Callithrix jacchus: one gene and its partners. The protein of the gene in region 3 binds, or shares a complex with, the protein of the main gene of each other region. Links are inferred from orthologs where the notes say so. Each region holds a gene or a part of one and is shown on either strand. Other genes may lie near its edges. The genes, in order: SENP2, XPO1 and RANGAP1.

Region 1 (10,733 bases), on a different chromosome or scaffold from region 3:
CAAGAAAGGGAGCAAGGCCTCAGATACCATCAGAACATTTCAACTTAAGAAAAATGTCTGAATGTGCCAGGGGCAGTGGCCCACGCCTGTAATCCCAGCACTTTGGGAGACTAAGGCAGGCAGATCACTTGAGGTCAGGAGTTCAAGGCCAGCCTGGCCAACATGGTGAAACCCTGTCTCTTCTAAAAATACAAAAATTATCCAGGTGTGGTGGCATGTGCCTGTAATCCCAGCTTCTCCAGAGGCTGAGGCATGAGTATCACTTGAACCTGGGAGGCAGAGGTTGCAGTGAGCCGAGATTGCGCCACTGCACTGGGCAACACAGACTCCAACTAAAAAAAAAAAAAAAAAAAAAAAAGTATGAATTTTCAAGTCCTGTCATAAGCAGTACATCAAACTGTACTGTATGATCCCAGTAAGAACATTTCTACACATGGGATAATATATGTGTATGTGTGAACACAAATGTATGTGTGTACAATTTATACATATACAAAGAAAAGACTAAAAGAGAATAATCATTTTATAAACAATTTGGTGTATCTTATGATTTTTAGAAATTTCTTCTCTATACTTTTTATTCAAGATAACCATAAATAAAAATAATATTTTATACTAAAACAATATTGAATTACTGTTAATAACTTTTCTTCACAAGATTCATCTGTCCTTACTAAAGTTAGAAGAAGGAACTTCATTGCTTCTAGTGAGCAGAAAAGGAAAAATGGACCCATCTTACTGATGCATTTTCTCACTTCATGTAACTACTTTACATAGCTAAGAAGTAGCTAAGCTTTAAAGACAGGTTTCTATTATAGCAATTACTATTTAAAACAATCACCTACAAACCACACACTTCAAACACTGCCTCTGAGTTCTGAGATAAACCCAACTCTCATGGAAAGCATAAAGACATGAGTGGGCTTAAGAATTTAGAGGACTAGGCTGGGCGCGGTGGCTCAAGCCTGTAATCCCAGCACTTTGGGAGGCCGAGGCGGGTGGATCACAGGGTCAAGAGATCGAGACCATCCTGGTCAACATGGTGAAACCTGTCTCTACTAAAAAATATACAAAAAATTAGCTGGGCATGGTGGTGCGTGCCTGTAATCCCAGCTACTCAGGAGGCTAAGGCAGGAGAATTGCCTGAACCCAGGAGGCGGGGGTTGCAGTGAGCTGAGATCGCGCCATTGCACTCCAGCCTGGGTAACAACAGCGAAACTCCGTCTCCAAAAAAAAAAGAAAAAGAATTTAGAGGACTAACACTCCCCAACTAACAGTTCCTTAGAACATTCAGAATAATGTATCAATACCAAAGAAATCTAATTCAAATCAGAGAATTCCAGTAAGATCTATTTTACCTCATAACACATGACAAACTTGTTTTCAGTGATGGTACTAAACACATTTTCTCAGTTGAAATCAGCTATTATTTTTAGACAAAAAAATAAAATGCATGCTAAGCCCTGAAATAGCCTTAACTATATATTAGACCACCATCCAAACAGCTTCCTAGGATGAGATGGAAGAGAGATCACCTCAACGGGGGTAGTGAGGCGACAGCGAAGGTTTCAACATTTACTTACAGGAGAATCTCGCAGATCCTGTGGCCCTTTTGTCCCATGGAATCCAGATATTTAAGACACTTTTTTCTTAGGTCTATCACCTATGATGGAAAAAGACAACATCCAGAAATATCTTAAATGTAAGAGGAGAATTTTACTTCCAAAAATAAAAGTATCTTTTAGAAAATCAATACATGTACCAATATAAATGGAGTTCTAAGTTACACTTAAAAAGTAACCTAGAACTCCATTTATATTGGTACATGTATTACATTTCTTAAAGACTTATCTTACATAACTTTAGTAAAAAGTATATTTTTTAGTTGAAACATTAGTGGTCCTCTCAGTGATGAGACTTTTTGTTGTTTGTTTTTATCTGTATCTTTCTTTCTTTCCTTCTCTTTTCTTTTCTTTCTTTCTCGTTCTTTTTTCTTTTTCTTTTAAGACAAGATCTCGCTCTGTCACCCAGGCTGGAGTACAGTGGTGTGATCACGGCTCACTGCAGCCTCGACCTCCTGGGTTCAAGGGATCTTCCACTTCAGCCTCCCAAGTAGCTGGGACACAGGTATGCACCACCATGCCCGGCAATTTATTTAATTTTTATATAGACAGGATCTTGCCATGTTGCCCAGCCTGGTCTCAAACTCTTAGGCTCAAGCAACCCTTCCTGCCTCGACCTCCCAAAGTCTGGGATTGTAGGCATGAGCCACCACACCTGGCTTTATATCTGCAATTTTTTTTTTTTTACAATAAACCTGTACTATCTTATAAACAAAACTAAATAAATATAATAACCCTTACGTATACTAAGACTCTCCTGTTAAAAACGAAAGGTCCTCAAGTACAAGGACTTGATCTTCTTGCCTTCTAAGTTGTTAACTCAAGAACTAAAAAGGAGGCCAGGTACGGTAGCTCACCCATCATTCTGAGGCTGAGGTGGGGGGACTGCTTAAAGCCAGGAGCTCAAGACTAGAGACTCTGTCTCCACAAAAAAATAAAAAATAAATTCTAAAAAATTAACTAGGCATACTTGTGCATGTCTGTAGTCCCAGGTACCTGGAGGCCAAAGTAAGATCATTTGTTCCCAGGAGGCTGAGGTTACAGTGAGCTATGGTTGTGCCACTGCACTCCAGCTTGGATGGCAGAATGAGACTCTGTCTCTAAAAATAAAAAAATAAAAAGGCTATGCATGGTGGCTCACGCCTGTAATCCCAGCACTATGGAAAGCTGAGGCAAGAGAACCACTTGAGGCCAGGAGTTCGATACCAACCAGAGCAATATACAAGACTCCATCTTGCCAAATAAATAAATAAATAAATAAAATTACCCAAGCATGGTGGACCATGCCTATAGTCCTAGTTACTCAGGAGGCTAAGGCAGGAGGACCACTTGAGTCCAGGAGTTCCAGGCTACAGTGAGCTATGATCACACCAATTCACTTCAACCTGGGCAACAGAGCAAGGCCTGGTCTCTCATTTTAAAAAATAGTATTAAACATTTTTTAAAGAATAAATAAAAGAGCCAAAAAGGGTTGGGTGAAGGAGGGGGCATTAAGAAAAAAAAAAAAACAAAAACTAAAAAGAGACTCTGTAGAGTATGCTTATAACATATACTACTGGTCTTTATACCCTGGGCAGAAAAGGGGAGCATTCTTTTTGAAAAATGGTCTTTATCCAAAGTCCAACAATTAACTATTAACCTTCTCTACTCACCACCAGGCTCCAATGTACCTTCCGATGAATAGGCACCAGAATAATTTCTTGTTCAAAGAGATTTACCCCTTTGGTCCATCTTTTCACTGCTTGGTAACCCCCAGACTTTAATTTAGGGTAGAAGAAAGTACTGAATACATGAAGTGCTGGATAGCCTTGCTTTTTATTTCTTTCCACCAGAAGATTCAGGTAAAAATTAATGACCTACAAAATATCAAGGGAGTGAAAGCTGGAACATGACAAATATATTATCAAAACTAAATTTTTACCTGAATAAGGACAAATTTGAAGGTAAGGTTCTAAAGAAGGAGATAGGGCTGGGCGCGGTGGCTCATGCCTGTAATCCCAGCACTTTGGGAGGCTGAAGCAGGTAGATATCCTGAGGTCAGGAGTTCAAGACCAGCCTGGCCAACATGGTGAAACCCCATCTCTACTAAAAATACAACAATTAGCAGGGTATGGTGGCAGGTGCCACGGTCTCAAAAAAAAAGGGGGGGGGGAGATAAAAGGACTGTCTAAAGAAAATGACAGCAAAAAAAGTCATCAGTGCAAAATGGGACACATGAAAAAAGAATGAAACTGTACTTTTTTTTGAGACAGAGTCTCGCTCTGTTGCCCAGGCTGTCAGCTCACTGCAACCTCCGACTCCCAGATTCAAGAGATTCTCCTGCCTCAGCCTCCTGAGTAGCTGAGACTACAGGTACACACCACCATGCCCGGCTAATTTTTGTATTTTTAGTAGAGATGGGGTTTCACTATATTGGCCAGGCTGGTCTCAAACTCCTGACCTTGTGATCCACCTGTTGGCCTCCCAAAGTGCTGGGATTACAGGTGTGAACCACTGCACCTGGCTGAAACCATACTTTTAAGGCATGTGAGTAACACTTAATAGCCAGAAGAAGGAATTCAAGAAGAAAGTCTGTGTAATAATGAAAAGATCTACATAACTGTATCACACCAAAAAAATGCAGAAATAGGAACAGTAAGTGAATTTTACTGCATATAAATTAGACTTCAGTTTAAAAATATTAACTGGAAGGACATACACCAAAATATTAACATTTTATTTATCTTTGAATGGTGGTACTTTTGAACAGTCATTTTTTTAGTTTTCCTGTATTTTCCAAATTTTCTACAATAAACAAATTATATTTATCATGTAAAACAAAACATTCCTGTTTTCAATGAATCTGTTTGTAAGTAACTAGTCATAGGGGAAACAGGAAAACAGGAAGGGAGATGAAGAGAGAAGATGCAGGGCCTGCAGTTAGGGAAAAAACCCACCGGAAAATTGTCAGGAAGAACTTAAGAGCCAGCTTTTGCTAAATATATTAAGGATACAAGAGACAAGTCAGGCAAAATTTTTCAGTTAATACTCAAAGAAAAGGCCGGGCACGGTGGCTCAAGCCTGTAATCCCAGCACTTTGGGACACTGAAGCGGGTGGATCACAAGGTCAAGAGATCGAGACCATCCTGGTCAACATAGTGAAACCCCGTCTCTACTAAAAAAATATACAGAAAATTAGCTGGGCATGGTGGTGCGTGCCTGTAATCCCAGCTACTCGGGAGGCTGAGGCAGGAGAATTGCCTGAACCCAGGAGGCGGAGGTTGCAGTGAGCCGAGATCGCACCATTGCACTCCAGCCTGGGTAACAAGCGCGAAACTCCGTCTCAAAAAAAAAAAAAAAACATGGTGAAACCCCATCTCTACTAAAATATACAAAAAAATTAGCTGAGCATGGTGGCACGTGCCTGTAATCCCAGCTACTCAGGAGGCTGAGGCAGGAGAATTGCCTGAACCCAGGAGGCGGAGGTTGCGGTGAGCTGAGATCACGCCATTGCGCTCCAGCCTGGGTAACAAGAGCGAAACTCCATCTCAAAAAAAAAAAAAAAAAAAAAAAAAAAAAAAAAAATACTCAAAGTATGCTGGGCGTGGTGGCTCATGCCTGCAATCCCAGCACTTTGGGAGGCCAAGGTGGGTGGATTACCTGAGGTCAGGAGTTTGAGACCAACCTGGCCAACATAGTGAAACCCCATCTCTACTAAAAATACAAAACTTAGCTGGGCATGGAGGTGGGTGCCTGTGATCCCAGCTACTTAGGAGGCTGAGGTAGGGGGATCACTTGAACCCAGAACTGGAGTTGCCGTGAGCTGAAATCGCACCATTGAACTCTAGCCTGGTCGACAAGAGCAAAACTCCATCTTAAAAGAAAAAAGAAAAATACATATAGTATATAATAATCAACATATCCCTTTATTACTCAAAAAATAAAACAGCTACTATAAGAATTCATCTAAAATATAATACCACTTGCTGCTTCCTCCTATTCATCAGCTGTGCCCAGGGTTTATTGGAGACTAGTAAATGAAGAGGTGGATACAACAAAGTACAGATGCACAAAAGGGAAACATCACCAATTCCAGGCAGAAAATCAGATTTCACTATCTTTTTAAGATTTAAGATATCTTTTTTGGCTGGGCGCAGTGGCTCACGCCTGTAATCCCAACACTTTGGGAGGCTGAGATGGGCGGATCACCTGAGATCAGGGGTTCGAGACCAGCCTGGCCAGCGTGGTGAAACCTCGTCTCTACTAAAAATACAAAAATTAGCCGGGCATGATGGAGCATGCCTATAATCCCAGCTACTCAGGAGGCTGAGGCAGAATTGCTTGAACCCAGGAGGTAGAGGTTGCAATGAGCCGAGATCGTGCCATTGCACTCCAGCCTGGGCAAAAGAGCAAGACTCTATTGCCAAAAAAAAAAGATGTCTTTGTTTTAATTATAACTAAAAGTTGCTTTACCAATCTCTATAACTGGGTAGGAATCAATGTGATTATAGATAATAAATAGTTAAACTTCATGATGGCCAAAAGGGGGAGGGAATACGACTTACTTCATCATTGAGCCAGTGATAATTCTTTAATGTCTGGATGTCTCCTCGAGTAATTCGCAATTTGAAAGCACTACTTAGGATTTCATCCTGTGGGCCATGGCCTAAGGCATTACTGATTTCCTTTTCCATGTCCTGAATTAGAAAGTCCAAAGGTTACTATTTTAATATAGAAACATTATCAGCTATTGAAAAATCTGAGCTGAAAAAAAATTTTTCATTTCGGCAGCACCTGACTCTTGAGAAAAATATACTATCAGAGACCTACTAAACTACAGTATGAAAACAATTTATCCTTATTTTTTAGTAATAGAGATGGGGCCTGATTAATTGCCCAAGTTGGCTACAAACTCCTAGGCTCAAGCAAAACCCGCCCTGGCCTCCCAAAGTGCTGGGATTCTAGGCATGAGCCACTGCACCAGCCCTGAAAATATTTTAACTTATAACTACAAAGCAGTCTTCCTAATATTTACAAAAAATGCTGGTTCAATTAGTAGCTTGTGGAAACAATAATAATAATTATATACATCTAAAGTATGGTCTCAATTATCCTACTATCAGGTATCAAGCACTATAAGCCGAACATGATGTTAGATACTTGAAGCACATTCTTACTTGTTGGGAAGGTATCCTACCATTTTATAGAAGAGAAAATTGAAGCTCAGAGAATTTATTTTACATATTAAAAGTCATATAATTATTAAAAGGTAGAATGAAGATTTGACCCCGGTGTGTCTGATTTACTGTCTTTTGCTCCTTTCATAATACTAAAACCCTGATTTCCACTCTAAGCTTTTTTTTGTTTGTTTTTGATACAGAGTCTCACTCTGTCACCCAGGCTGGAAATCTCAGCTCACTACAACCTGCCTCCCAGATGCAAGCGATTTTCATGCCTCAGCCTCCTGATTAGCTGGGATTAGACATGTTGCCACCATGCCGGCCATTTTTTTGTATTTTCAGTAAAGTCAGGGTTTCACCATGTTGGCCAGGCTAGTCTCAAACTCCTGACCTCAAGTGATCTGCCTGCATTGGCCTCCCAAAGTGCTGGGACTACAGGCACGAGCCACCACACCCAGCCTCTCTTTTAAATGTTTAAAACATCAAAATAAGATTAGGACATCTAAGGGGTCATACCATCCTTTTTGACAGAAAGAGAATAAGCAAACAGGCAGAAACTTGGAAACCAGGCAGCAGTCTAGCAATTGACTCTTTATGGAATAAATGGATTCATCATACTAAGGAATAATGTGGGCCAGGCACGGTGGCTTACACCTGTAATCCCAGCAATTTGGGAGGCTGAGGCAGGCAGATCACGAGGTCAAGAGTTTGAGACCAGCTTGGCCAATATGATGAAACCTGTCTCTACTGAAAAATACAAAAATTAGCCAGGTATGATGGCATGTGCCTGTAGTCCCAGCTACTCGGGAGGCTAAGGCAGGAGAATTGCTGGAACCCAGGAGGCAAAGGTTGCAGTGAGCCGAGATTGTGCCATTGCGCTCCAGCCTCAGCAACGACAGGGTGAAACTCTGTCTCAAAAAAAAAGAATTATGCAGATAAATGCATTATTTAAGACACAAAACTAGATCTATAAATCCACTACAAATTATTTCCCTCTAGGCCAGGCATGGTGCCTCATGCCTGTAATCCTGGCACTTTGGGAGGCCGAGGCAGGTGGATCACCTGAGGTCAGGAGTTTGAGACCTGCCTGACCAACATAGTGAAACCCCATCTCTACTAAAAATAAAAAATTAGCTGGGCATGGTGGTGGGCGCTTGTAGTCCCAGATACTCAGAGGCTGAGGCAGGAGACTTGCTTGAACCCAGGAGGCAGAGGTTGCAGTGAGCCAGGATCGTGCCATTGCACTCCAGCATGGGCAACAACAGCGAAACTCTGTCTCAAAAAAAAAAAAAAAAAAAAAAAATTATTTTCCTCTAAATATTTTTACCACTGCTTCCTCCCACTGCACAGTTTCACTGTTTTATGGATCTCTCTCTCCACCTGCATGCCCAATATAATAGTAAGTATTCAAGAGAGATTCACCTACTAGATTCCTACTGTAGAGGAAGCCAAGATGTGGGTGCATCTTTAAAATAAGAATTTTAACTACCTTCATTCTTTATGTTCTGTAAATTTTTACAATTTTCAGATGCAATAATCAACAAAAGGGACATCTTAGTAAACTATAATCACTTTTTAAAAAATGCAGTGGACTTATTCCTAATTCCAAACCTATGCTATATAACTCACTCAACATATTTGAAGGTTAGAATCTACAAAGAATTTGTTGAATTCCAAGATATGTGATGACTGTGTCGACTCACATTTGCTGAATATCAGTTTGATCCCTTAGGTCACTAACGATCATGCCTCACTAATGATCAGTGTAGCCAAAGTGCATAAATAGATCATGGGCCTGATTTGTTTTCATATATTCATCCTTAGCCTGGAGAAAGTCCTCAAAACAAAACATTCAAGTTTAGAAGTACTGAGGTTATTTAAAGACATGCCTCTTTTTAGGATCAATACAAAGAACAATACCTCTGTAAGTTCAAGGAGATCATCTGTTCTTCTGTCCCTCTCTTTGCCTGAGCAATTCTTTTCCTTTGTCTCAATTATTGACACTTTCCTCCTGAGTAAGCCATTGCTTCCACTGCCCAGGCGGAGTCGGGCTGACACTTCTTCTGATAGGTCAGGCTCCAGCTGGTATCCCCTCCTCTGATCAAAAAAGCATCTACATTCTACTGACATGTTTGATACTTGCTAATATAAACATAGATAACACATGAAATATAAAACTGTCAGTAATATGAAAGAAAAGAGAATTAGCAAATCCCCCAAATGAGTAGATTTATCATATCTGCCTGTCCCTGCAAGGGGAAACAAAAAAACTCCAGACCTAAGATTCACAGGATACCTCAGTTACAAACCATGAAACAGAACACTCGCCACATTCCCTGGAAGGAGCAAAAAAAGTATTTTCAGTTCTCCTATCACAATTAAAAATAGTATGTTTAAAAGATTATTATGAAAGTTTTAAATAGCAAAAAATATGACCCACAATCCCACCACTCAGAACAAATACCTATCTTTATGCTAACTAAACTTGGTTCTAGCTTATCCTTGTAAAAAGTCATTTTATATTATAGAAAATGCACAAAACATTAATGTACCACTTAATTCATTTTTGTAAAATGAACACCTATATAACCACCATTGTGGTTATATAAACAAATAGAATTCTGCCAGCACCCTAAAGCATTATCAGAGATGTATGATTTTTAAGAAATTCTCCATAAAAAGCCATAAAATGTAGGTAAAGTGTTGGTATGGAGATAGGTTCATCTTTCATAAACAAAGGTGGCTACTGTACAGAGGCAAAACTCCAACAACTCAGAAAGAAGAAAAAGGTTGTATATTTTCAATACTTGCCTTTTTTTTTTTAAAGAGACAGAGTCTCGTTCTGTCACTCAAGCTGGAGTGCAGTGGTGTGATCACAGCTCACTGCAGCCTTGACCTCCTGGGCTCAAGCAATCCTCCTGTCTTAGCTTCCCAGGTAGCTGAGACTACAGATGTGTCACCATGCCTGGCTAATTTTTAAATTTTTTGTGGAGACAGTCTCACTATGTTGCCCAGGCTGGTCTCAAACTCCTGGGCTCAAGATCCTCCTGCCTTGGCCTCCCAAAGTTCTGGGATTACAGGCATGAGCCACTGTGCCTGGCTGGCTTGCTGCTTTCTTAAAGAAAACAACAGAAGTAACAATCTAAGTAATATATATATAATTTTTCTTCTTTTTCATTGGTACCAAAACATAAGTTATGTAAGTAAATGGGTATCAAAATTTTTTTTTTTCTTGAGACGGAGTTTCACTCTTGTTGCCCAGGCTGGAGTGCAATGGCAGATTCTCGGCTCACTGCAACCTCCACCTCCTGGGTTCAAGCGATTCTCCTGCCTCAGCCTCCCGAGTAGCTGGAATTACAGGCATGTGCCACAGGCATGCCTGGATAATTTTTTTATTTTTAGTAGAGACAGGGTTTCTACATGTTGGTCAGGCTGGTCTCAAACTCCCGACCTCAGATAATGTCCCGCTTTGGACTCCCAAAGTGTTGGGATTACAGGAGTGAGCCATGCACCTGGCCTATGGATATTAGATTTAACTAGGATTTTTACTTACACTTTCATTTTCAAATCTGAGTCCAACCATCTTTTCTGTATCAGAAATTTTCCCCTTTGTACACCTAAGGAAAATAATTGAGAGATGATAGATTTCTGCTAGATGACTCAAACCTAGCACATCCTAGTTTTAGAAATAAGATTTCATAATCTGCAAATAAAAATTGCCTTTTTATATAATATTCTAAATCAAGAGCCAACAAACTTTTCTGAAAAAGCACAGACAGTATTTTAGGCTTTGCAGGTTTTATGGTCTTGGGCATATCGTGGCAACTCTACCACTGTAATTTAAAAGCAGCCATAGACAGTATGTAAATGAATGTGCACACTTCAACAGAAACGTACTATACAAAAATAGGCAAGCAGACCAGATTTGGCCTATAGGCCATAATTTACAAAC
Region 2 (10,733 bases), on a different chromosome or scaffold from region 3:
TCTAGACTGAACTCGTTTCATGTTCTAGTTTTTTTCCCACACTCATGGAGAAGTTGTTGGGTTCTCTCTTTGTAGCTCACTTATTTAGACAGATTAGAAGTATTTGCATTCAGACCTCAAAACCACGGTAAGCAACAACAGCACTCAATCAACCACTCTGTTACCTTGAATAACATGGGCAAATACAGCTGTCTCCTGGGAGGAACATCAAAATGTTGACTTCCAGATAGCAACGGAGAGGCAGATGTAGAGAATGGACTCTCTCTATAGAGTTCAGCAGCCAAATGATTCCAGTATTCAAGACAAATTTTAAAGATTTCAGTTTCTTCTACTTCAGATACCAACAACATATAATGAAGGGCCTACAAAGAACACCAAAACTATTAAAATAATTCTTAAACATTACCAACTTAAAACTGCTTTTCACTTATAACATTTAAGGGAAAATAAAAATTCATGTTTTACTCATCACACCTCAGATTTCAATACTAATCAAATAGACTGTAAACTCTGGAGGAGTAACTCTGCTTCTTCTGACATGCCCTAAAATACTTCAAAGTTTTTATCATGTCTCTCTGAAGGGACATTTTAAAGGCCTCGGGCGCCAACGGGCAAGAATTATCAACAACCCAAATGTACCATCATAGATGAGAGAACAAACAGAATATTCAGACAATGAAAATGTTCTTCAGCCACGATGTAAAGTAAGGTATTGATATAGGTTACAGCATGGAAGAACACTGAAAACATGATGCCAAATCAAAGAAACCAGACACAAAATGTTACATGTATGATTCCTTTCATATGGTATAATCAGAATAGATACATCTACAGAGACAGAACCCAAACTAATGATTGGGAAAGAGAACAAAGAAGGAAGTGACTGTTTTATGAGTAAAGGGTCACCTTTGGATAATGACAATGTTTTGGATCTAGGTATTAATAGTTGCACGTTGTATATATACTGAAATGCCACAATTTTGTGCGTGTATATTTGTATACATATAATGCATGTGTATGCATATATATATATATATATATATATATATATATATATATATATTTTTCCTCTTCAGAGTCTTGCTCTGTCACCCAGGCCGAAGTGTAGTAGCAGGATCTTGGCTCAATGCAACTCCGCCTTCTGGGGTCAATCAATTCTCCTACCTCAGCCTCCCAAGTAGCTGGGATTACAGGCACAAGCGACCATGCCCAGCTAATTTTTCTATTTTTTAGTAGATAGTAAGTTTCACCATGTTGGCCAGTCTGGTCTTTAACTGCTGACCTTGTGATCCACCCACCTGGGCCGCCAAAAATGCTGAGATTACAGGCGTGAGCTACCACGCACATCCAAAAGACACACTTTTGAGAGTATCAGTAGGTAGAGCAGAATTTTAGGAGCAAAGGCTCCACAAAGCTTACCTCCATTAGAGTTTCCCTGAGATTTAATCTTTTTTCTATAAGTTGATCATGTTCTTTAAGAAAGGTGCAAAGAAACAAACTGAGATTTTGAATAAAGTTCTGTTCATCATCTTTTCCATTTGAGTATGCAAGTCGAATATTGGTATTTAAAGGAAGCATCTGCAAATTTTAAAAGGGACAATTAGTTTGCATTTTATAGAACGACAAAAGACTTTTATTTTATTATTATTTTTGAGACAGGGTCTCACTCTGTCATCCAACCTGGAGTGCAGTGGTATGATCACAGCTCACTGCAGCCTCTCAATCAGTCCTCTCAACTCAGCCCCTCCCAAATAGCTGGGACCACAGGCATGTGCCACCATACCCAGCTAATTTTTAAAATATTTGTAGAGACAGTATCTTGTTATGTTGTTCAGACTGGTCTCGAACTCCCGACTCAAGTAACCCTCTCACCTTAGCCTCCCAATGTGCTGGGATTTCAGGTGTGATCTACTGCACCCAGCCAACACTATTATTTTTAAGCCCTAAGATCCCAACAGTCTTTTGCTAATATTAAACCACAAACACAACTCCTAGAGCCGGTATACCTATTCTTCCATTCCTAAAACCTAGATTTTGACTCTTCTCAAATAAATACATTGGAATGAGTAGGGCTGCGATCATTCAAAGCCTTTAAGTTTTTTCTAGTATTGGACTGATCCCTTTCTCGGTGACAATGAAAACGTAAAAACAGTCAATTCATTCATTCAGATCACAAACATACACAATAATCTACTTCTCCTTTTTTTTTTTGAGACAGAGTTTTGATCTTGCTGCCAGGCTGGAGTGCAGTGGCATGATCTCAGCTCACCGCAACCTCCACCTCCCAGGTTCAAGCGATTCTCCCACCTCAGCCTCCTGAGTAGCAGGGACTACAGTGTGTGCCACCACACCCAGACAATTTTTGTATTTTTAGTAGAGACAGGGTTTCACCATATTGGTTAGGCTGGTCTCGAACTGCTGACCTTGTGATCCGCCTGCCTTGGCCTCCCAAAGTGCTGGGATTACAGGCGTAAGCCACTGTGCCCAGGCTTTCCTTTTTTTTTTTTTTCAAGAGACGGGAACTTGCCCTGTCATCCAGGCTAAAGTGCAGTAGTGTGACCATAGCTCATTTGAACTTTGAACTCATGGGCTCAAGAGATCCTATTGCCTCAGCCTCCAGAGTAGCTGGAACTACAGATGTGCAACACCACAGCTGGCTACTTTAAATCTTTTATAGAGACGATCTGGTTATGGTGTCCAGGCTGGTCTTGAACTCCTGGTATCAACTGGTCCTCCTATCCTGGGCTCCCAAAGTTCTGGGATTATAGGTGTCAATGCTGGCCATGAACACGGTATTACGAATAACCTTCTAGATCATTTAATAGATAAATAAGCAATCAAACTATGGCTGGAAAGAATTCTTCCAGACACAATGTTAGGAACAGATGCCAGTTCTGATCAGTTCCCACTGTCTGATCAGATCTCTCCCAAAGGACCAAACTCCTAAACTGTGCAGAAATAAAATTACCACAACATACCCCAATCTTGAATTTTAAGAAATTTTTGGAGATATAAAAATTTGTAGCTCACTATAAATTTTATGTAATAAATATAAAATAACTATGGCTATGACACGCTGTTCTAAAATAGCTCATTTGAAATTCAGTATTTTCTAAGGCACTAAAATTGTTCAATTTTCAAGACAATATTACATTACCTGCTTTAGTTGCATCATTGTCAGAGTAAATAGCGTTACAAATTGTTCTTCATATTGGCTTACACTCACACCAGCAATCTCAGTGAGGCACTTTAGAGAGACATTTCGAAACATTGGAACATTCAAGAACTATTCAAAAGAGGGGAGGGAACCATAAAATTAATTGGCCTGACAAACACTGTACTTAAAATTCACAATTAAAAGGAAAAACTACTTAACAATTAAACACAGAAGTAGATGTCAGAAACAGGCCAAGTAAATGCACATATTGTATCTGACAGATATACTGAGAGGAAATTTGATTACCTACCCAATACACATTAAATGCTTTAAGAGCAAATTCTGCTTTCTTTTGATGTGTTCTTAGACATCTAAAATAACAAGACTCCTTAACAACTTTCCTAGAATCTGTGACATGACTTTTGGGAATGTCATACTTTCTGTGTAATTACACAGAACCTAAAACTTGTGATTGCTTAGGATTTTGGAAAATGGTTATTATATCTAAGAGTAATAAGAAAGTGGGAAAACTGGCTTTTATATTCTATTGTTGAGAAGATAAACAATTATCCGGGTTTGGGAATTTAGTGGGCATTAAAACCTTAAAAATAAACATAGCTAATAACCTGGTAATTATACATTAAAATATTTTTTTCTTACCTAAATCTCACCTTGAAACATTAAAATATTTAAAGAAAGTGACTATTTGGACAACTGCATAATCTTTTATGTCTAAGAACGTACTCTGTAAGACTGGTGACAATACCAGTATTTTTATTTATTTTTTTAAATAAAAAAAATATGGAACACTTCACGAATGTGTGCCATCCTTGCCCAGGGGCCATGCTAATCTTCTCTGTATCGTTCCAATTTTAGTTTGTGTGCTGCCGAAGCGAGCACAACAATACCAATATTTTTACATAACTTAATTGAGCAATAAACTGATCATTCAAATACCATAAATCATGTTACCAAACTCTAAACTACAAAGTTGAAGGGGTTAAGTTACAATGTACCAATTAATTTATTCATTACATCAGTCTTAGAAAACATCTGAACATGTAATACAACTAATTGCTAACAGTGATTATCTCCGGATGAACCACTGTAGAATTTTTTTTTTCTGAGACAGGGTGTTGCTGTTACCCAGGCTGGAGCGCAGTGACAAAATCTTGTCTCACTGCAGTCTGCCTCCTGGGTTTGAGATTTTCCTGCCACAGCCTCCCAAGAAGCTGGGACTTACAGGCATGCACCACCACACCTAAGTGGTTTTTTTTTTTTCCTTTTTTTGGTGAGATGGAGTCTTGCTCTGTTGCCCAGGCTAGAGTACAGTGATGTGAGTCTGGCTCACTGCAACCTCGACCTCCCAGGTTTGAACAATTCTTCTGCTTCAGTCTCTCAAGTAGCTGGGACTATAGGTGCATGCCACCACACTGGGCTAATTTTTTATATTTTAGTAGAAACGAGGTTTCACCATGTTAGCTAGGATGATTTCGATCTCCGACTTTGTGATCTACCTGCCTAGGCCTCCCAAAGTGCTCAAATTATAGGCATGAGCCACTGTGTCCGGCAAGTTTTATATTTTTTGTAGATATGGGGTTTCATCATGTTTCGCAGGCTAAACCATTGTATAACTTAAAGAACACATAAGATGGTATCAATTTTTAAATCTCAGTTAAAAGATTAACTTTTCATTTTTCACAAATAGTACTTGACTTACCTCACTGTAACTTATACATTCAACTAATAGATGGCAACACAGGGCTGGACGCAGTGGTTCACGCCTGTAATGCCAGCACTTTGGGAGGTTGAGGCAGGCAGATCACCTGTGGTCTGGAGTTTGAGACCAGCCTTGCCTACATGATGAAACCCCATCTCTACTAAAAATACAAAGAATTACAGGCGGTCACCTCTAATCCCAGCTACTTGGGAGGCTGAGGCAGGAGAATTGCTGGAAACTAGTGAGTAGAGGTTTCAGTGAGCCAAGATTGCGCCACTGTACTCCAGCCTAGGTGATACAATGAGATTCCGTCTCAAAAAAAAAAAAAATATGGCAATATAATCAAATCCATTATTTGTTATAAATGAATTCATAAAATTACATGGTACAAGTGGCAGAATCAGATTTGAGACTCACTTCAAAGAATTTACTAGGTGTAAATATGAAACATTTCTTCTGAGCAGTTTCCTCATGTTAGAACCAAGGTTGAATAATGGTTTTGAATGCAGATATGAGAGCTTTATATGTGAAAAGAATATATGTGGCTATCCAGTGACAAATTAACTGTATTCACTGTACCTTATAAATTAATGTGCTGATTAATTTGGTCTCAAAAATATATCCCAGTGGAATCCAGTTCAGGAATCTGAGCAACGTTTCCAAGGTTGCATGTACAAGTGGAGCATTTTGAGAATTTTCCTACAATAAAACATACTTGTAAATAATTGCTAACATATTATTGTTATTTTTAAAAATGAAATTAAAAACACTTACCATTACAAACTGACACAGTTGAAATATCTGTGAGAATTCATTGCACATGCTAAAAAAATATATATACATATCAGTTTTAGAAGACACAGAAATAAATTAACAGTTATGTACAATACTAATAAAAATGATTAAGACCCAGTACAGTAGCTCATGCCTGTAATCCCAGAATTTTAGAAGACCATGGCAGGAGAATTGCTTGAGCCCAGGAGATCAAGACCAGCCTGGGCAACCTAGCAAGACCCCATCTCTCAAAGGAAAAAAAAAAAAAAGATGAAAATTTCAACCATCTGGTAATTAAAGATGTGACTATATTTATCTGCTCTCTCTCAGCAAAATTATCTTCTATTTAAACATTGAGCCACTGAACTCCAGCCCAGGTAACAGAGTGAGACTTGTCTCATAAAATAACTAACTTGAATGTTTGGACACGAATCATTTGCTTAGAACCTATTAATTAGTTATCATACAAATCAAATCCTGAAGTGTATCTCAGAACAATCCACTTTTCAACCTCCAGAGGTAGTTATAGACCCAATCTAGGACTATTTCTTAATTTGTAGTTGAAAACCAGTATAAACAATTGAACGTATTACTGATCATGGTTCCTTAAAATACCTACAATATACATTCAAATTGCTTGAAATTGTTTGAGAAATTACTTTAAAATTCTAAAACATAATTATTACTTGCCTGTCTTTTAAATGCTTAGATTTGACTTGGGTTATCTGTCCACTAGAAAAATCAAATACTTCTTCGCTCAAGAGTTTAAGAATCACCATATTATTTTGACAGAGACTTTCGCTGGTCCTACTTGCTCCAACGATATCGCTAATAAAAGTTGGCCAATGTTTTGGCCACTCTTGTTTCAGTATCTAAAATAAGACATGAAATGTTAATCGCACTTCCTTTATCAAATGCAAATAAAACAACCTTCAAAGAAATTGTTTAATGGATAAAAGCAGCAGTAAGGACCAACCACTTTTCATTTTCTCCTCCTTTATTTTATTTTATTATTATTATTTTTTTTGAGACGGAATTTTGCTCGTTACCCAGGCTGGAGTGCAATGGCGCGATCTCGGCTCACTGCAACCTCCGCCTCCTGGGTTCAGGCAATTCTCCTGCCTCAGCCTCCTGAGTAGCTGGGATTACAGGCACACGCCACCATGCCCAGCTAATTTTTTTGTATTTTTAGTAGAGACGGGTGTCTCACCATGTTGACCAGGATGGTCTCGATCTGTTGAACTTGTGATCCACCCGACTTGGCCTCCCAAAGTGCTGGGATTACAGGCTTGAGCCACCGCGCCCGGCCTATCTCCTCCTTTATTAAAACAAATGTGTCACCCTCTTCACCATACTGGGTAGAAAATAAAACACCAATAAAGTATTTTATCGTAATCGCCCCAAAACCGTTCTCAATTATCCTAATGAAAGGTCTGATTGGTCTAATGGGTCTGTGTATTAGTATCTGCCTGATAGATATGTAGAAATTATCCTAGGAGGCCGGATGGGGTCGCTCACACGTGTAACCCCAGCACTTCCTGGGAGGCCACAGCAGGCGGATCACTTGTCGCCAGGAGTTCAAGAACAGCTTGGCCAACGTGGTGAAACCCTGTCTCTACAACAAATACAAAACTTAGCTGGGCATTGTGGCGCAGGCCTGTAGCCCCAGCTACTCTGGAAGCTGAGGCAGGAGAATTGCTTGAACCTGGAAGGCAGAGGTTGCAGTGAGACGAGACCTCGCCACTGCATTCCACCTTGGGAGACAGAGCGAGACTCTGTTTCAAAAAAAGAAACCATCCTAGGAGACTCCAGAATTTAACTAACTATAGATGATAAAAATTGACTGGGTGGCTGGGCACAGTGGCTCACGCCTGTAATCCCAGCACTTTGGGAGGCCGAGGCAGGTGGATCATGAAGTCAAGAGATCGAGACCATCCTGGTCAACATGGTGAAACCCCGTCTCTACTAAAAATACAAAAAATTAGCTGGGCATGGTGGCGTGTGCCTGTAATCCCAGCTACTCAGGAGGCTGAGGCAGGAGAATTGCCTGAATCCAGGAGACAAAGGTTGCGGTGAGCCGAGATCGCGCCATTGTACTCCAGCCTGGGTAACAAGAGCGAAACTCCGTCTCCCAAAAAAAGAAAAGTCTAAAGTATAATAAAAGCTGGAGTTTATCACTGAATACACCAAAGTTTTTGGAGACTTGGATGTTTCTAAACCTTATTTCAACAGAAAATGTGTTTTTTCCCCCTCATATACAAGGGTTCTCTGGAAAAAAATTTATGACAGTACAGGAAACAGATACATATAAAAATTATCAATTTGGTCAACATAGTGTAACGACTAAGCATGGAAATCAATTAGAAGGTCGAAAAAAAAATCAAAGGATTGAGAGAGATAACATGCAAAGGGAACATGCATAGGCATATTAGAAAATTAAAAAACAATCTGGCTGGGAGCAGTGGCTCATGCCAGTAATCCCAGAACTTTGGGAGGCCAAGCTGGGTGGTTACCTGAGGTCAACAGTTTGAGACCAGCCTGGCCAACATGGTAAAAACCCTGTATCTACTAAAACTACAAAAAATTAGCCAGATGTGGTAGCAGACACCTGTAATTCCAGCTACTCAGGAGGCAGAGGCAGGAGAATTGCATGAACCCAGGAGGCGGAGATTGCAGTGAGCTGAAATGGTGCCACCGCACTCCAGCCTGGGCAACAGAGTGAGACTCTGTCAAAAAAAAAAAAAAAAAAAAAAAAAAAATCCAACATACACTCCAAAGCATATTGCAGCCATATAGATGATATGTTTAACAATATTTGATGTTTCCTACCACAGCAAATTAACATTCACTAGTAATTTAATTTACCAGTAAATTACTAGTAAATTTACTAGTATTTCACTAGTAAATTAATTTACTAGACAGTAGGATACCTATTATTGTTGAACACTATCATTGCTTCTGTAAAATATTAATATACTTTATTTCCTAAGTAGGTCAAACATTTTATTCAAATAAGCATATTTTTTCTTAGAAGGCAAAGCTTACCTGAACAAGAATCATATTTAATTTTCCGATATACACCTTTTCTTTCTAAGGAAAGATAAAAGATTAAATGAGAGCCTGAGGTAAGTATAATAAGAATATAAGCATAGACAATCCTCCTAAGAAACAAACAATTACAGCTCTACTGCAAACGACTGATTGCGCTTATGTGGGACTATGTGTCTTGACAAATCAGGTTGTACGTAGTCAAAGATGACTCAATATCTAAATGATTTTATGCTCTCCTAATAATCTCCAAAATAAACTTACCTCTACACAAGTTGGGTCAGATGATGTCTTGATAATGAGGCCAACAACGTATTTTTTTATTCCTATTAAAAAAAATTGCACATATAAAACAAACTGTTATCTCTTTTGCAGCATGCAAATAGATTTTGAGAACTGTATTTGTAATTAATGTGGGAGTGGGAGGATTAAGTAAAATCAGATAGTATACTCTCACCCCATCACCAATATTGGCATTAAAAAAAAATTCTGGCATGGTGGCTCACACTTGTAATCCCAGCAACCCTTTAGGAGGCTGAGAGGGGTGAATCCCCTCAGATCAGGAGTTTGAGACCATCCTGACCAAGATGATGAAAACCTGTCTATATTAAAAATACAAAAATCAACTGGATGTGGTGGTAGGTGCCTATAATCCCAGCTATCAGGAGGCTGAGACAGGAGAATTGCTTGAACCCAAGAGGCAGAGGTTGCAGTGAGCAGAGATCGGGCCACTGCACTCCAGCCTGGGTGATAGAAGGAGACTGTCTCAAAAAAAAAAAATAAATAAATAAAAATAAAAATCCACTGAGTTTAATGTCCTATTCATACTTTTAAAGATGGGATCTGGCATTGTTGCCTGGGTTGGTGTTAAATTAGTAGGCTCAAGTGATCCTCCTGCACAGGTCTCCCAAAGTGCCGGAATTACAGGAATATGCCAACACATCCAGCCTGTAACAAACTGCGATTCCAGTTTCTCTCATCATAATCTGGGTTTCACCTGTTTCTTTTCTTTTTTGAGCCAGAGTCCTGCTATGTCACCCACACTGGAGTGCAGTGGTATCATCTTGGCTCACTGCGAACTCTTCCTCCCAGATAAGTGATTCTCCTGCCTAAGCCTCCCAACTACCTAGGATTACAGGCAAGGACCAACACACCTGGCTAACTTTTGTATTTTTAGTAGAGACAAGGTCTAACTATTTTGTCTAGGCTGGTCTCAAACTTCTGACCTCAAATGATCTACCTGCCTCAGCCTCCTAAAGTGCTCGATTCATTACCCACTGCACCCAGCCCTTTCTTTCTTCTTTTAGAGACAGTCTTAATCTGTTGCCCTGGCTGTAGTGCAGAGTTGCAATCTCGGCTCACTGCAACCTCCACCTCCCGGGTTCTCCTGCCTCAGCATCCCAAGCAGCTGGGATTTCAGGCGCGTACCACCACGCCTTGGCTAATTTTTGTAGAAACCAGTTTTCACCATATTGGCCAGGCTGGTCTGAAACTCCTGACCTCAAGTAATGCACCTGCCTTGGCCTCCCAAAATGCTGAGATTACAGGCATATGCCACCACACCTGGCCCAAACTTTTTTAACGCATAAAAATTTACTGATGGCTTGGGCACAGTGGCTTACTGCTGTAATCCCAGCACTTTTGGAGGATGAGGTGGGCAGATTGCTTGAGGCCTAGAGATGAAGGCTTCAGTGAACTGAGATTGTGCCACTACACTCCAGCCTGGGCAACATAGTGAGACCATGTTTCAAAAATGAATTAATATACATGTTATTGTTTTCCACTATACATTAATTGCAACATTAAGCTAATGAAAAATACATTAACTTCTCCACACACACATTAAATAAAAAAGGGAGGAGGTTTAGAGAAACATTTCTTTACTTAAGGATCTCTTCAGTGTAAAACCTACTCTTTAAATAATTAAGACATGATACTCATATCCTGGATTTTAATTTGCTTCATGCAGAATTTGCTGAGCATCTACTATAGGTTTCATTCTCCAAGATCACAGGATTCAACGATGTTGCAAAA
Region 3 (10,733 bases):
CTCCTGGGTTCAGGCAATTCTCCTGCCTCAGCCTCCTCAGTAGCTGGGATTACAGGCACACACCACCATGCCCAGCTAATTTTTTGTATTTTTAGTAGAGACGGGGTTTTATCATGTTGGCCGACCATGCCCGGCCAATATTTTCTTTCTATTTATTTAAAAAATTATTTGGCCGGGTGAGGTGGCTCACACCTGTAATCCCAGCACTTTGGGAGGCCGAGGTGGGTGGATCACGAGGTCAAGACATCGAAACCATCCTGGCCAACATGGTAAAACCCCGTCTCTACTAAAAATACAAAAAATTAGCCGGGTGTGATGGCACATGCCTGTAATCCCAGCTACTCGGGAGGCTGAGACAGGAGAATCGCTTGAACCCAGGAGGTGGAGGTTGTGGTGAGCCAAGAATGCACCACTGCATTCCAGCCTGGGCAACAAGAGTGAAACTCCGTCTCAAAAAAAAAAAAAAAAAAAAAATTTAGACTGGGTACAGTGGCTCATGCAGGCAATTCCAGCACTTTAGGAGGCCAAGGTGGGTGGACTGCCTGAGATCAGGAGTTTGAGACCAGCCTGGCTAACACAGTGAAACCCTGTCTCTACTAAAATACAAAAAATAGTTGGATGGGTATGGTGGCGTGTGCCTGTTGTCCCAACTAATCGAGAGGCTGAGGTGGGAGAATCACGTGAGCCTGGGAAGCTGAAGCTGCAGTGGGCTGAGACTGCACTCCAGCCTGGGCAACAAAGTGAGGCTCTGTCTCAATAAATTAAATTAAAATTTATTTTAATAAATTAAAATTTTTTTTTTAATTCAAGGGCCACATGGGCTCATGTATTATGTGGGTAGTCACAAGCCTTTCTAATGCTGTAAAATTTCTTGTCTACATTCATAATCAAAAGCCACACTATACATTTTAGCTACACTAGGGATAAATAATGATGCTATTTTTTTCTCATCCATGTTCACAGACCCCTGAATTCTATCCACAGACTGGAGGAGATTAAGAACCCCCATTCTGGCTGGGTGCAGTGGCTCATGCCTGTAATCCCAGCATTTTGGGAGGCCACGGTGGGCAGATCACAAGGTCAGGAGATTGAGGGCTGATTGAGACCATCCTGGCTAACATGATGGAACCCCGTCTCTACCAAAAATGCAAAAAATTGGCCGGGCACAGTGGCTCACGCCTGTAACCCCAACACTTTGGGAGGCTGAGGCAGGTGGATCGCTTGAGGTCGGGAGTTCAAGACCAGTTTGACCAACATGGAGAAACCCTGTATCTACTACTAAAAATACAAAATTATCCGGGCATGCTGGCACATGCCTGTAATCCCAGCTACTCAGGAGGCTGAGGCAGGAGAATCGCCTGAACCAGGGAGGTAGAGGTTATGGTGAGCCGAAATCGCACCATGCACTCCAGCCTGGGCAAGAAGAGTGAAACTCTGTCTCAAAAAAAAAAAAAAAACATACAAAAAGTTAGCTGGACATGGTGGTGGGTGCCTGTAGTCCCAGCTACTTGGAAGGCTGAGGCAGGAGAATCACTTGAGCCAGGGAAGCAGAGGTTGCAGTGAGCCGAGATTGTGCTACTGCTCTCCAGCCTGGGTGACAGAGCAAGACTCCGTCTAAGAAAAAACAACCCATTTTAAGCCCACCAGAGGACACCTTATGAAGGCTCAGCACAACCACAGCATCGCCCCCATTCCCAGTGCACAGAGGACAGCAAGCTGAGGGCAGGGAGGGATCCAAGGATGGCAACAAGGCCCCTCCAGCTCTTGAGGAGGCAGCAGGAGCTCCCCTGCAGCCAGGGGTGCAGGGAGATACGAGGCAGATCTCTGTGCTATCCACTTGGCACTGAAGTAGGCAAGGAGTGTCTACAGACAAACTCTGTGGGCAGGCAGGAGAGGGTGCCCATTCAGCCCAGTATGAGCAATGCTCCTAGGATACTGTTTGTTGAAAAAAAACATTTAAATTCAGAGAAGAGTGGCTGGGCACAGTGGCTCACACCTATAATCCCAGCACTTTGGGAAGCCCAAGCAGAAGACCACTTGAAGTCAGGAGTTCGAGACCACCTGTCCAATGTGGTAAAACCCTGTCTCTAACAAAAATACAAAAATTAGGCCAGATGCAATGTCTCATGCCTGTAATCCCAGCACTTCGGGAGGCTGAGGCAGGTGGATAATGAGGTCAGGAGATCAAGACTATCCTGGCCAACACAGTGAAACCCCAACTATACCAAAATACAAAAACCTAGCCAGGCATGGTAGCACACGCCTATAGTCCCAGCAACTTGGGAGGCTGAGGCAGGAGAATCTCTTGAACTCGGGAAGCAGAGGTTGCAGTGAGCTGAAATCATGCCACTGCAGACTAGCCTGGCGACAGAGCCACACTCCATCTAAAAAAAAAAAAAAACACAACCAAAAATTAGCCAGGTGTGGTGATGGGCGCCTGTAATTCTATAATTACAGCTACTTGGGAGGCTGAAGCAGGAGAATTGCTTGAACCTGGGAGGCAGATGTTGCAGTGAGCCAAGATTGTGCCACTACACTCCAGCAGGGGTGACACAGTGAGACTCTGTCCCAGAAAAACAAAAAAGAGAAGAGGGAGACAGACCCCAAAGTTTTCAGTTCTGTCATGGGCAAGTGTGACCTTCTTCTGGCACTCATGGTTGGAGACTCAACAATGTCCTAGGGAGCTGGGGAGAGGAGGAGGGGGGAGACGAGGAGAATGGAAGAGGAGCAGGGACAAGGTAACCCAAGAGCACTTCATCTGGCACCTAAGCCCTGTGGCTGCCCCTGCCTGTCTCCCTGTCTTAGGAAGTCTAGTAAGTTCTTTCTCTGTGCCCCACACCAGGGGCTGGGAGCACTCATCACTCATGTCACCTTGCTCCACCACTTTTTTTTTTTCCCCGAGACAGTTTTACTCTGTCGCCAGGCTGGAATGCAGTGGCGAGATCTCGGCTCACCACAACCTCTGACTCCGATTCGAGCCATTCTCCTGCCTCAGCCACCTGAGTAGCAGAGATTACGTGCCACCATGCCCAGCTAATTTTTGTATTTTTGTTTTGAGACAGAGTCTTGCTCTGTCACCCAGGCTGGAATGCAGTGGCGCAATCTTGGCTCACTGCAACCTCCACCTCCTGGGTTCAAGCAATTTTCCTGCCTCTGCCTTCCGAGTAGCTAGGACTACAGGCGCCCACCATCATGCCTGGCTAATTTTTGTATTTTTAGTAGGGGTTTCACCATGTTGGCCAGGATGGTCTTGATCTCTTGACCTTGTGATCCACCCGCCTTGGCCTCCTGAGGTATTGGGATTGCAGGCGTCAGCCACCGCGCCTGGCATCTTGCTCCACCAATTCTGGGCCTGGCAGATGACACTCCCTGGTCAGAGTGGCCTGAAGCCTCACAAGGGGCTGCTGCTGGCTCACCTTTGGGAGCAACCACACATCTTTCCAGAAATGCATGACAGGAATCCTGGCCCATTTTCGAATGGGCTAACAGGCTTGAAGAGGGCATATGACGCCTCAGGTCTCTCGGCTGAGTGCCTGCCATGGGATCCACATCCAGGACTAACAGCTTACTGTGCCGAGTGCACCTCAGGGCTGCGGGGGCAGGATGGACAGAAACCACTCACCCTAAAAGCTTCTGCCAAAGCAGTGGCGCCATCGTTCTCCAGACGGTTTCTGCCAGCTACAAAAACCTTCAGGGCCAGAGGCTTGCCTTGGGCACTGGATTTCTGGTGACACTCGGTCAGAGCTGCAGCCAGGATCTGTGGGAAAAGGCAAGGGGCCCAGGCCATGGGCAGGAGCCCTAGCAGGGCAGCCACTGCTGCTGAACTGCTCTTCCACATCCCACACATTCAGGCAAAGCACTGAAAAACAGAGACTGACTAATGGGAATCAGAGCCCATGGTCAATGAGACATAAAAGAATCACGAGCGAGTGTACCAGGAGAGAAGTGATGTTTGCAGAACACCTGATGTTTGCAGAGCACCTGCTAGGGCCTGGGCACCCTCAGTAAGGTATTTGCATACTTTCTCACTTCAACCTCAACACCAGCCTGGGAGACAGGTGGGACTGGTCATACTTTACAGATGAGGAAGCTGAGGCTCTGAGAGGTGAGTGAATCGGCCAGTCACCTGGCAAATACTCAGCAAAGCTGCACATGGTGGGTATGTTGGCCTAACTCCTGGCATGAGACTGCACACAGCTGTCCCTGAGAAACAGAAGGGCCAGCATCTGCCTGACTTCACGGTGGCTATGCTGGATCATGCACACACTCAAGGTAGAGATATCAAACTTCTGCCATAGACCAGCCTCTCAGGAAGCTACTCGGCGGCAGCAGCTGACTGCTAGGTCACCCCCATTCTCCCCGATTCCTTGGAGGCCACATGGGGAGGGCCTTAGCTCCTGCAGGAGTCCAACTTGGGTCTGGATAGTTCCCAAGCACAGGGCCACACCTCTTGCCCTGTCAACTCCTCTGGGCCCTCCTATTCTCATGGTGCATGGTGCAGAGACCGCACTAAACATATACTACCCAAGAGAAAAAGATTCCAAAGGACCAAAGGACCTACAGGCCTTGGTTAGACACTCAGAGCATCGTGTCTGAGCTCCCAAGAGGCGCAGATCAGCAAGGCCAGGACACAGAACCTAATCAAATCAGTGGTCAGGGAGGCTCAGAAAACCATCTGTCAAACTCTAGGGTTAGAGTCTGCCTGACTGTGAGGCCCTCTGGCCCTGGGGTTCAAAACTCATTCCCCAACTCATCCCACTGCAAGTATAGGACAGGCTAGACAAGCCCTGGCCAGTAGGAAAGTCCCCTGAGCCTCAGTTTCCAGGCACTGCTGGGTGGGAGAGGGGAAGTAATGGAAGGAAAACCAAAGCACTTGGCTGGAGTCTCCAGCTCTCCCAGCATATCCTACTCATTCCAGGTTGGGCTGCACCTGCTTTCTGTGCTGATGCAAACATTTTTAGATTTTTTTTTTCTTTTTGAGACGGAGTTTAGCTCTTGTTGCCCAGGCTGGAGTGCAGTGGTGCCATCTTGGCTCACCACAACCTCTGCCTTGCAGGTTCAAGCAATTCTCCTGCCTAAGCCTCCTGAGTAACTGGGACTATAGGTGCCCACCACCATGCCCAGCTAATTTTTTATTTTTAGTAGAGATGGGATTTTACCATGTTGGCCAGGCTGGTCTTAAACTCCTGACCTCAGGTGATCCACCTGCCTTGGCCTCCCAAAGTGCTGGGATTACAGGCGTGAGCCACTGCCTTGGCCCATTTTTATATCTTAACACAGGGACAGCTTATTGCCCAAGTGGACTTTGGGGAGGGCTGGCTAAGGCAGGCACAGAGCCTGCCCCTACTTACCTACACATCAGGAAGAGGGCCACAGGCACCCTCTGCAGGGTAGGCCACTCCAGCTCCCCAGCCTGGGGCTCCATGCGCCTCACAGCACCAGCTATGTGATCCACCCCACCCCACCTCTCTAAGCCTATGCTGAGTCATGTGGAAAAATGGGGATGGCACCACCCCACTTTCAGTGGGGATGGGAAAGTTAAGGTACTTCATATTCAAATAAGATGTCCCCAACTGCTGTTAGTTCCGTGTCCCCAGCCCTATCCTCCCTTTGGTCAGAAAGTGTGTGTAGGGGTTGCAGCCTGGCACTCAGTGTTCTCCAACCCTGGGTCTAAAGACACCAGGATGCAGCTGAAGAGAACAGGGCAGACCACTCTCTATGCAGGTTCTGGGAAGAAAGAAGCTCCACCCTACACTGACCAGCCCAACTTGAAGCTCTACACTGACCTTGCCTAGGGACAGTCCCCAGGCAAGGCCCTGTCCAAGAATAAAGGTGAGCTGTGACTGTTCCTTCATGAGCGGACACTCTTTTCAGGCTTCTTCCTCAACCTGTGTGCCAGGCTCTGCCAGCTGCTCTGAGGGTACAGTGAGTGTAGGGATGCTCCAAGACATGAGTTTTGCAGAGCCAGCAGGTATACGGCAGCACTCCCTCTGCATTGCCAAGCCAACCCAAGAAGTTGGGATGGTTGCTTGGCAACCCACTCTCACGGAGGCCTCTACCCTCTGGCTGTAGGCTGCGGCTTGAGGCCTTTCTCTTTTGAAAACAACAGCTGACCATCCCAGATGGTGGTGGCCAAGGGCCAGGGCACATAGGTCAGATGGATGTGGATGGAGCAGGGGACTCTACTGGGAGGGGGCCGCCATACCCACCTTGCCGCCACCAATGCCCATGCCACAGTTGTTGAGCTTGAGTTCACGCAGGGTGAAACAGGCTGAGCTCTTGAGCAGGGCTTCGAAGCCTTGCACACCGTCGGGCCCGAATGCGTTGTCACTTAAGTCCAGTTCCACCAGCTGGGCCCCAGCTGTGATGAGTCCTTCCCCTAGTGAGATCTGGGCACAGAGGAAGCTCGTGTCAGTTTCTCTTTTTTTTTTTAAGACAGAGTTTCGCTGTTGTTACCCAGACTGGAGTACAATGGCACGATCTTGGCTCACCACAACCTCCGCCTTTTGGGTTCAAGCAATTCTCCTGCCTCAGCCTCCTGAGTAGCTGGGACTACAGGCACGCACCACCATGCCCAGCTAATTTTTGTATTTTTAGTAGAGACGGGGTTTCACCTTGTTGACCAGGATGGTCTCAATCTCTTGACCTTGTGATCCACCCGCCTCGGCCTCCCAAAGTGCTGGGATTACAGGCTTGAGCCACCGTGCCCGGCCACGTGTCAGTTTCATAGATACCCAGCATGTGCTGCTTCCATGCCAGGCCCAGCTCTGCCTTCCGAGGACACCCCGGCTAATAGAGAACTGGCATAGACACGAATCATTTCGGTATTCTCAAGACTAGAAACCCTGCAAAGGCCTCCTAACAGATGGAGAGTGGGGCGTGTGTATGCATGGGGTGGCCTGGGAAAACTTCTAAGAAGCGGCATTTGAGCTTAGTCTGGAGAGAATCAGCTAGTAAACATGAAAAGATTCCAGGCAGCTGAAAAAACAGGAGCAGAGACATAAGAATGAAGCAGCAGGCTGTGAACCTGGGGGCAGCTGTGGAAGGGCTCTAGAAGAGGCCATGGCGTGGGCTTTGGATGGAAGGGAAGTGAAGGGTCAGATCAGGCAATAGTCTTGAATGCCAGGCCAAGGACTATGAACCTCAGCCTGAGAGCACTAGGTTTTGAAGTGGCTGAGGGATGTGGAAGAAACATCCCCGGACCTGAGGAGAGCACATGGACAGGTGGGGGGCTGGAGTGCCCACCCAGGAGTGTGAGGCAGTGACACTGGCAACAGAGAGGGGACCTGCTGGCCAGTGTGACAAGTGCAGGAGAGGAGAGGAGCTGCCTGTTCATGGAGCAGGGGACATGCAGAAGCTGGTGGTTCTCTAGATTGCAGGAAGAGGGAGGGAGGAACCACAAATGCCTCCAGGATTTCTTTTTTTTTTCTTTTGCTATTAATCATGCCATATGATTTTTAATTATGCATAAACATCTAACATATCACCCAGGGACCATTACACCCACTGCTCTGTTTGGCTGCCAGTCTTTTGTCTCTCTCTTCAGCAATGGTGAGGCGGATACCCTTTCCTCGGGGAAGAGAAATCCATGGTTTGTTGCCCTTGCCAATAACAAAAATATTGGAAAGTCCAGTGGCAAAGCTGTTGCCATTGGCATCTTTCACATGAACCACATCGAAAGATCCAGAGTGCCTCTCTCTGTTCGTAATCACACCAATTCTTCCCAGGTTAGCACCCCCAGTCACCATACACAGGTTACCAGTGTCAAACTCGATGAAATCAGTAATCTTGCCAGTCTCCAAATCAATCTGAATGGTATCATTCACCTTGATGCGGGGATCAGGATAGCGGATGGTGCGAACATCATGAGTCACCAGATGAGGGATTCCTTTTGTGCCCACAAAGATTTTTCGTACTTAGCACAATTTGTACTTGGCCTCCTCAGGTGTAATACGATGTACAGCAAAGCGACCCTTGGTGTCATAGATCAGATGGAAATTCTCTCCTGTCTTGTCAATGCTGATGACATCCATGAAATCAGCAGGGTAGGTTATATCAGTTCGGACTTTGCCATCAATTTTAATGAACTGCTGCATGCAAATCTTCTTTACTTCATCTCCTGTCAGGGCATACTTAAGTCTGTTCCTTAGGAAAATGATGAGGGGGAGACACTCTCACAACTTGTGAGGACTGGTGGATGGACGAGGAGCAAACACACCGGTCAATTTATCCAGCATCCAGTGCTTTGGAGCTGCCACCCGCTTCAGATGCTTCTTGGGACCATGAGCCATGGCTGCGTTAGGCAAGGAAAGAGCCTCCAGGGTTTCTGATGGTGACTGGCAGATGGAGGTGGCCATCTCCAAGCCATGGCCAGGGACCAGCTTTGGCAGGCGGATTCGGAGCTCTCCTGGAAACCTCGTGGGCTGGGGAGAGCTACACTCCCTCACCCCCCAGGAGAAATGGTCAGAGGAGAGGAGGCCCTGCCAGAGACTTGGGGCAGAAAGGGGGCTGGGCAGGTGGTCCATGGAGGCAGGAATGAGGAAAGGAGGCTCTCTGCCCTTGCCCTGGCCACAGGCATGGCAGCTGAGGCAGTTTCTACTGTCCTCCCACCACTCAGCAAGCAAAAGGCAGCGTGTCCGCTGGTTGCCTGGCCCACAGAAGGCCTAGCCCCTGGCCATCTGGCCCCAACTGACCTCCAGCCCTGAAGAGGCAAGCTGCTCAAATACCCTGTGCCTACTCCACTTCATGCCATCTTCGGACCCCAAATTCTTTTATCCCCCTCTTAAGATTTGTTTTTATCACTGGGAACATAGAGGTAAGAATACTTTCCTTCCTCATTCCTGTAGGGTCAAGTAAAAGAAAACAAAAACCAAACAGACACCTTCTGAAAGCTCAGGAAAATTAAATGCTAAAATTTAGGCAAAACCTGCACAACGAGAATTCCACAGTGAGTATGCAAAATAGTTTCTTCACCATCTTTTCTGACTTGAAATTCCTTTTTTTTTTTGAGACAGAGTCTTTCTCTCACCTAGGCTGGAGTGCAGTGGCATGATCTCAGCTGACTGCAACCTCTGCCTCTCAGGTTCGAGTGATTCTTCTGCCTCAGCCTCCCGAGTAGATGGGATTACAGGCATCCACCATCATGTCCGGCTAATTTTTGTACTTTTGTAGAGACCGAGTTTCACCATGTTGGCCAGGCTGGTCTTGGAGTCCTGACCTCAGGTGATCTGCCTGCCTCGGCCTCCCAAAGTGCTAGGATTACAGGCGTGCATGGCCAACATGCCTGGCCTGACTTAAAATTCTTTAACATACAATCACTAAAATGAATTTGCTTTTTCCTTGAGACAGAGTCTCACTCTGGCACCCAGGTTGGAGTGCAGTGGATGGTCCTGGCTCACTGCAACCTCCACCTCCTGTGTTTAAGCAATTCTCCTGCCTCAGCCTCCCAAGTAGCTGGGACTATAGGTGCCCACCACCATGCCCAGCTAATTTTTGTATTTTTAGTAGAGATGGGATTTTACCATGTTGGCCAGGCTGGTCGCAAACTCCTGACCTCGGGTGATCCACCTGCCTCAGCCTCCTAAAGTTCTGGGATTAAAGGTGTGAGCCACCTCGCCCACCCAGAAATGAATTTTCTTAACCTACATTCCAAATCCTGGCCTCACAAACCAGGCGCAGTGGCACACCTATAATCCCAGCTGCTTGGGAGGACCATTTGAGCCCAGGAGCTCAAGACCATCCTGGCCAGCATAGTGAGACCCTGTCTTTAAAAATAAAACAAAAGGGCCAGGTGCAGTGGCTCACGCCTGTAATCCCAGCACTTTGGGAGGCTGAGTCAGGTGGATCACTTGAAGTCAGGAGTTCGAGACCAGCCTAGCCAACATTGGCAAAACCCCATCTCTACTAAAAATACAAAATTAGCCAGGTGTGGTAGTGAATGCCTATAATCCCAACTACTCAGGAGGCTGAGGCAGGAGAATCACTTGAACCTGGAAGGTTGAGGTTGTAGTGAGCTGAGACTGCACTCCAGCCTCGGCCACAGAGTGAGACTCTGCCTCAAAAATAAATAAATAAAATAAAAGGAGGCCAGGAGCGACCAGGCTGAGGGGCTTAGTAACATCAGCGTGCATACTCATCACTGACCAGAAACCTGCACCCCCATGGCCTGCCATGTGCAGCCTCCTGCTAGGAGGACACACTGAGAGGCTGCTGACAGCCAGACCTGCCTTCTTCCCTTGGCCAGGGAAGCCTTCCTGTGTTCTGTGAGGCCCCTTTCTATTTCCTTACACACACACACACACACACACACACACACACACACACACACACACAGCTCCGGGAAGACTGGGAACTTGATGCAAGCCGGTCTGAGCCCGGGAGTGAAGAAATGGGAAGCCAGCCATGATGGGCGCAAACCAAAGCTGAGAGTGGCATGGAGAAAGGGAGAAGCCAGAGAAAGACTGGGACAGGCTTGTGGGCTATGTGCAGAGAAGTCATGAAGGAGCAGGACTGTGAGGTGCAGGGAGAGGTACCAGGAAAGCTGAGGCAACCGTGTTGGGGTGAAATCCACAGTGAGCCAAACCTCACAGCTCAGGAGGACCCAGGAGTGTGTGGTCTCAGCTCTCCTGCCTCCCTGGAGTCCCCGCCCTTGGGCTTCCTCCCCTGCCAGCTCCTGTGTTCCCACCTGCCCCTCCTGTCAGGATACAGGCTGCATGCTGGGCTGGCTGGGCTTC

What was found.
Region 1: the proteins of RANGAP1 (region 3) and SENP2 are in contact, whole or in part, in a crystal structure (PDB 2IO3), measured with the Homo sapiens proteins. The link is inferred for Callithrix jacchus from reciprocal best matches to the Homo sapiens genes RANGAP1 and SENP2. Residues at the interface, in NP_001265580.1 of Homo sapiens: Glu467, Asn508, Thr511, Thr514, Arg515, Val518, His519, Leu523, Lys524, Ser525, Glu526, Asp527, Val529; in NP_067640.2 of Homo sapiens: Tyr408, His409, Trp410, Val477, His478, Asp495, Met497, Gly498, Gln499, Lys500, Pro536, His537, Gln541, Gln542, Asn544, Gly545.
Region 2: the proteins of RANGAP1 (region 3) and XPO1 are in contact, whole or in part, in a cryo-EM structure (PDB 9B62), measured with the Homo sapiens proteins. The link is inferred for Callithrix jacchus from reciprocal best matches to the Homo sapiens genes RANGAP1 and XPO1. Residues at the interface, in NP_001265580.1 of Homo sapiens: Ala2, Asp5, Ile6, Leu9, Ala10, Thr12, Leu13, Ala14, Thr16, Gln17, Val18, Ala19, Gln22, Leu23, Ser24, Phe25, Lys28, Glu44, Arg55, Ala561, Thr564, Lys565, Pro566, Ser568, Glu571, Ser572, Ser574, Phe575, Arg577, His578; in NP_003391.1 of Homo sapiens: Lys245, Ser248, Thr249, Tyr252, Lys253, Glu281, Gln282, Val284, Thr285, Leu289, Met292, Gln293, Gln296, Arg340, Asn342, Leu343, Lys514, Val518, Ile521, Lys522, Leu525, Glu529, Arg532, Lys534, Lys537, Ala538, Ala541, Met545, Phe554, His558.

The regions. Positions count from the first base shown.
Region 1 is NC_133516.1:14,565,310-14,576,042, reverse strand, and holds part of SENP2 (sentrin-specific protease 2), read right to left. Parts: intron 10,399-10,733; coding exon 10,335-10,398; intron 8,924-10,334; coding exon 8,702-8,923; intron 6,299-8,701; coding exon 6,167-6,298; intron 3,479-6,166; coding exon 3,275-3,478; intron 1,664-3,274; coding exon 1,584-1,663; intron 333-1,583; coding exon 270-332; intron 1-269. UniProt on the Homo sapiens protein: Protease that catalyzes two essential functions in the SUMO pathway.
Region 2 is NC_133515.1:52,620,525-52,631,257, reverse strand, and holds part of XPO1 (exportin-1), read right to left. Parts: intron 9,026-10,733; coding exon 8,964-9,025; intron 8,742-8,963; coding exon 8,697-8,741; intron 6,524-8,696; coding exon 6,342-6,523; intron 5,701-6,341; coding exon 5,652-5,700; intron 5,577-5,651; coding exon 5,457-5,576; intron 4,058-5,456; exon of another isoform or gene 3,953-4,057; intron 3,287-3,952; coding exon 3,158-3,286; intron 1,579-3,157; coding exon 1,420-1,578; intron 363-1,419; coding exon 165-362; intron 1-164. UniProt on the Homo sapiens protein: Mediates the nuclear export of cellular proteins (cargos) bearing a leucine-rich nuclear export signal (NES) and of RNAs.
Region 3 is NC_133502.1:192,066,718-192,077,450, forward strand, and holds part of RANGAP1 (ran GTPase-activating protein 1), read right to left. Parts: intron 8,661-10,733; exon of another isoform or gene 7,415-8,660; intron 6,390-7,414; coding exon 6,210-6,389; intron 3,758-6,209; coding exon 3,623-3,757; intron 1-3,622. UniProt on the Homo sapiens protein: GTPase activator for RAN. Converts cytoplasmic GTP-bound RAN to GDP-bound RAN, which is essential for RAN-mediated nuclear import and export. Mediates dissociation of cargo from nuclear export complexes containing XPO1, RAN and RANBP2 after nuclear export.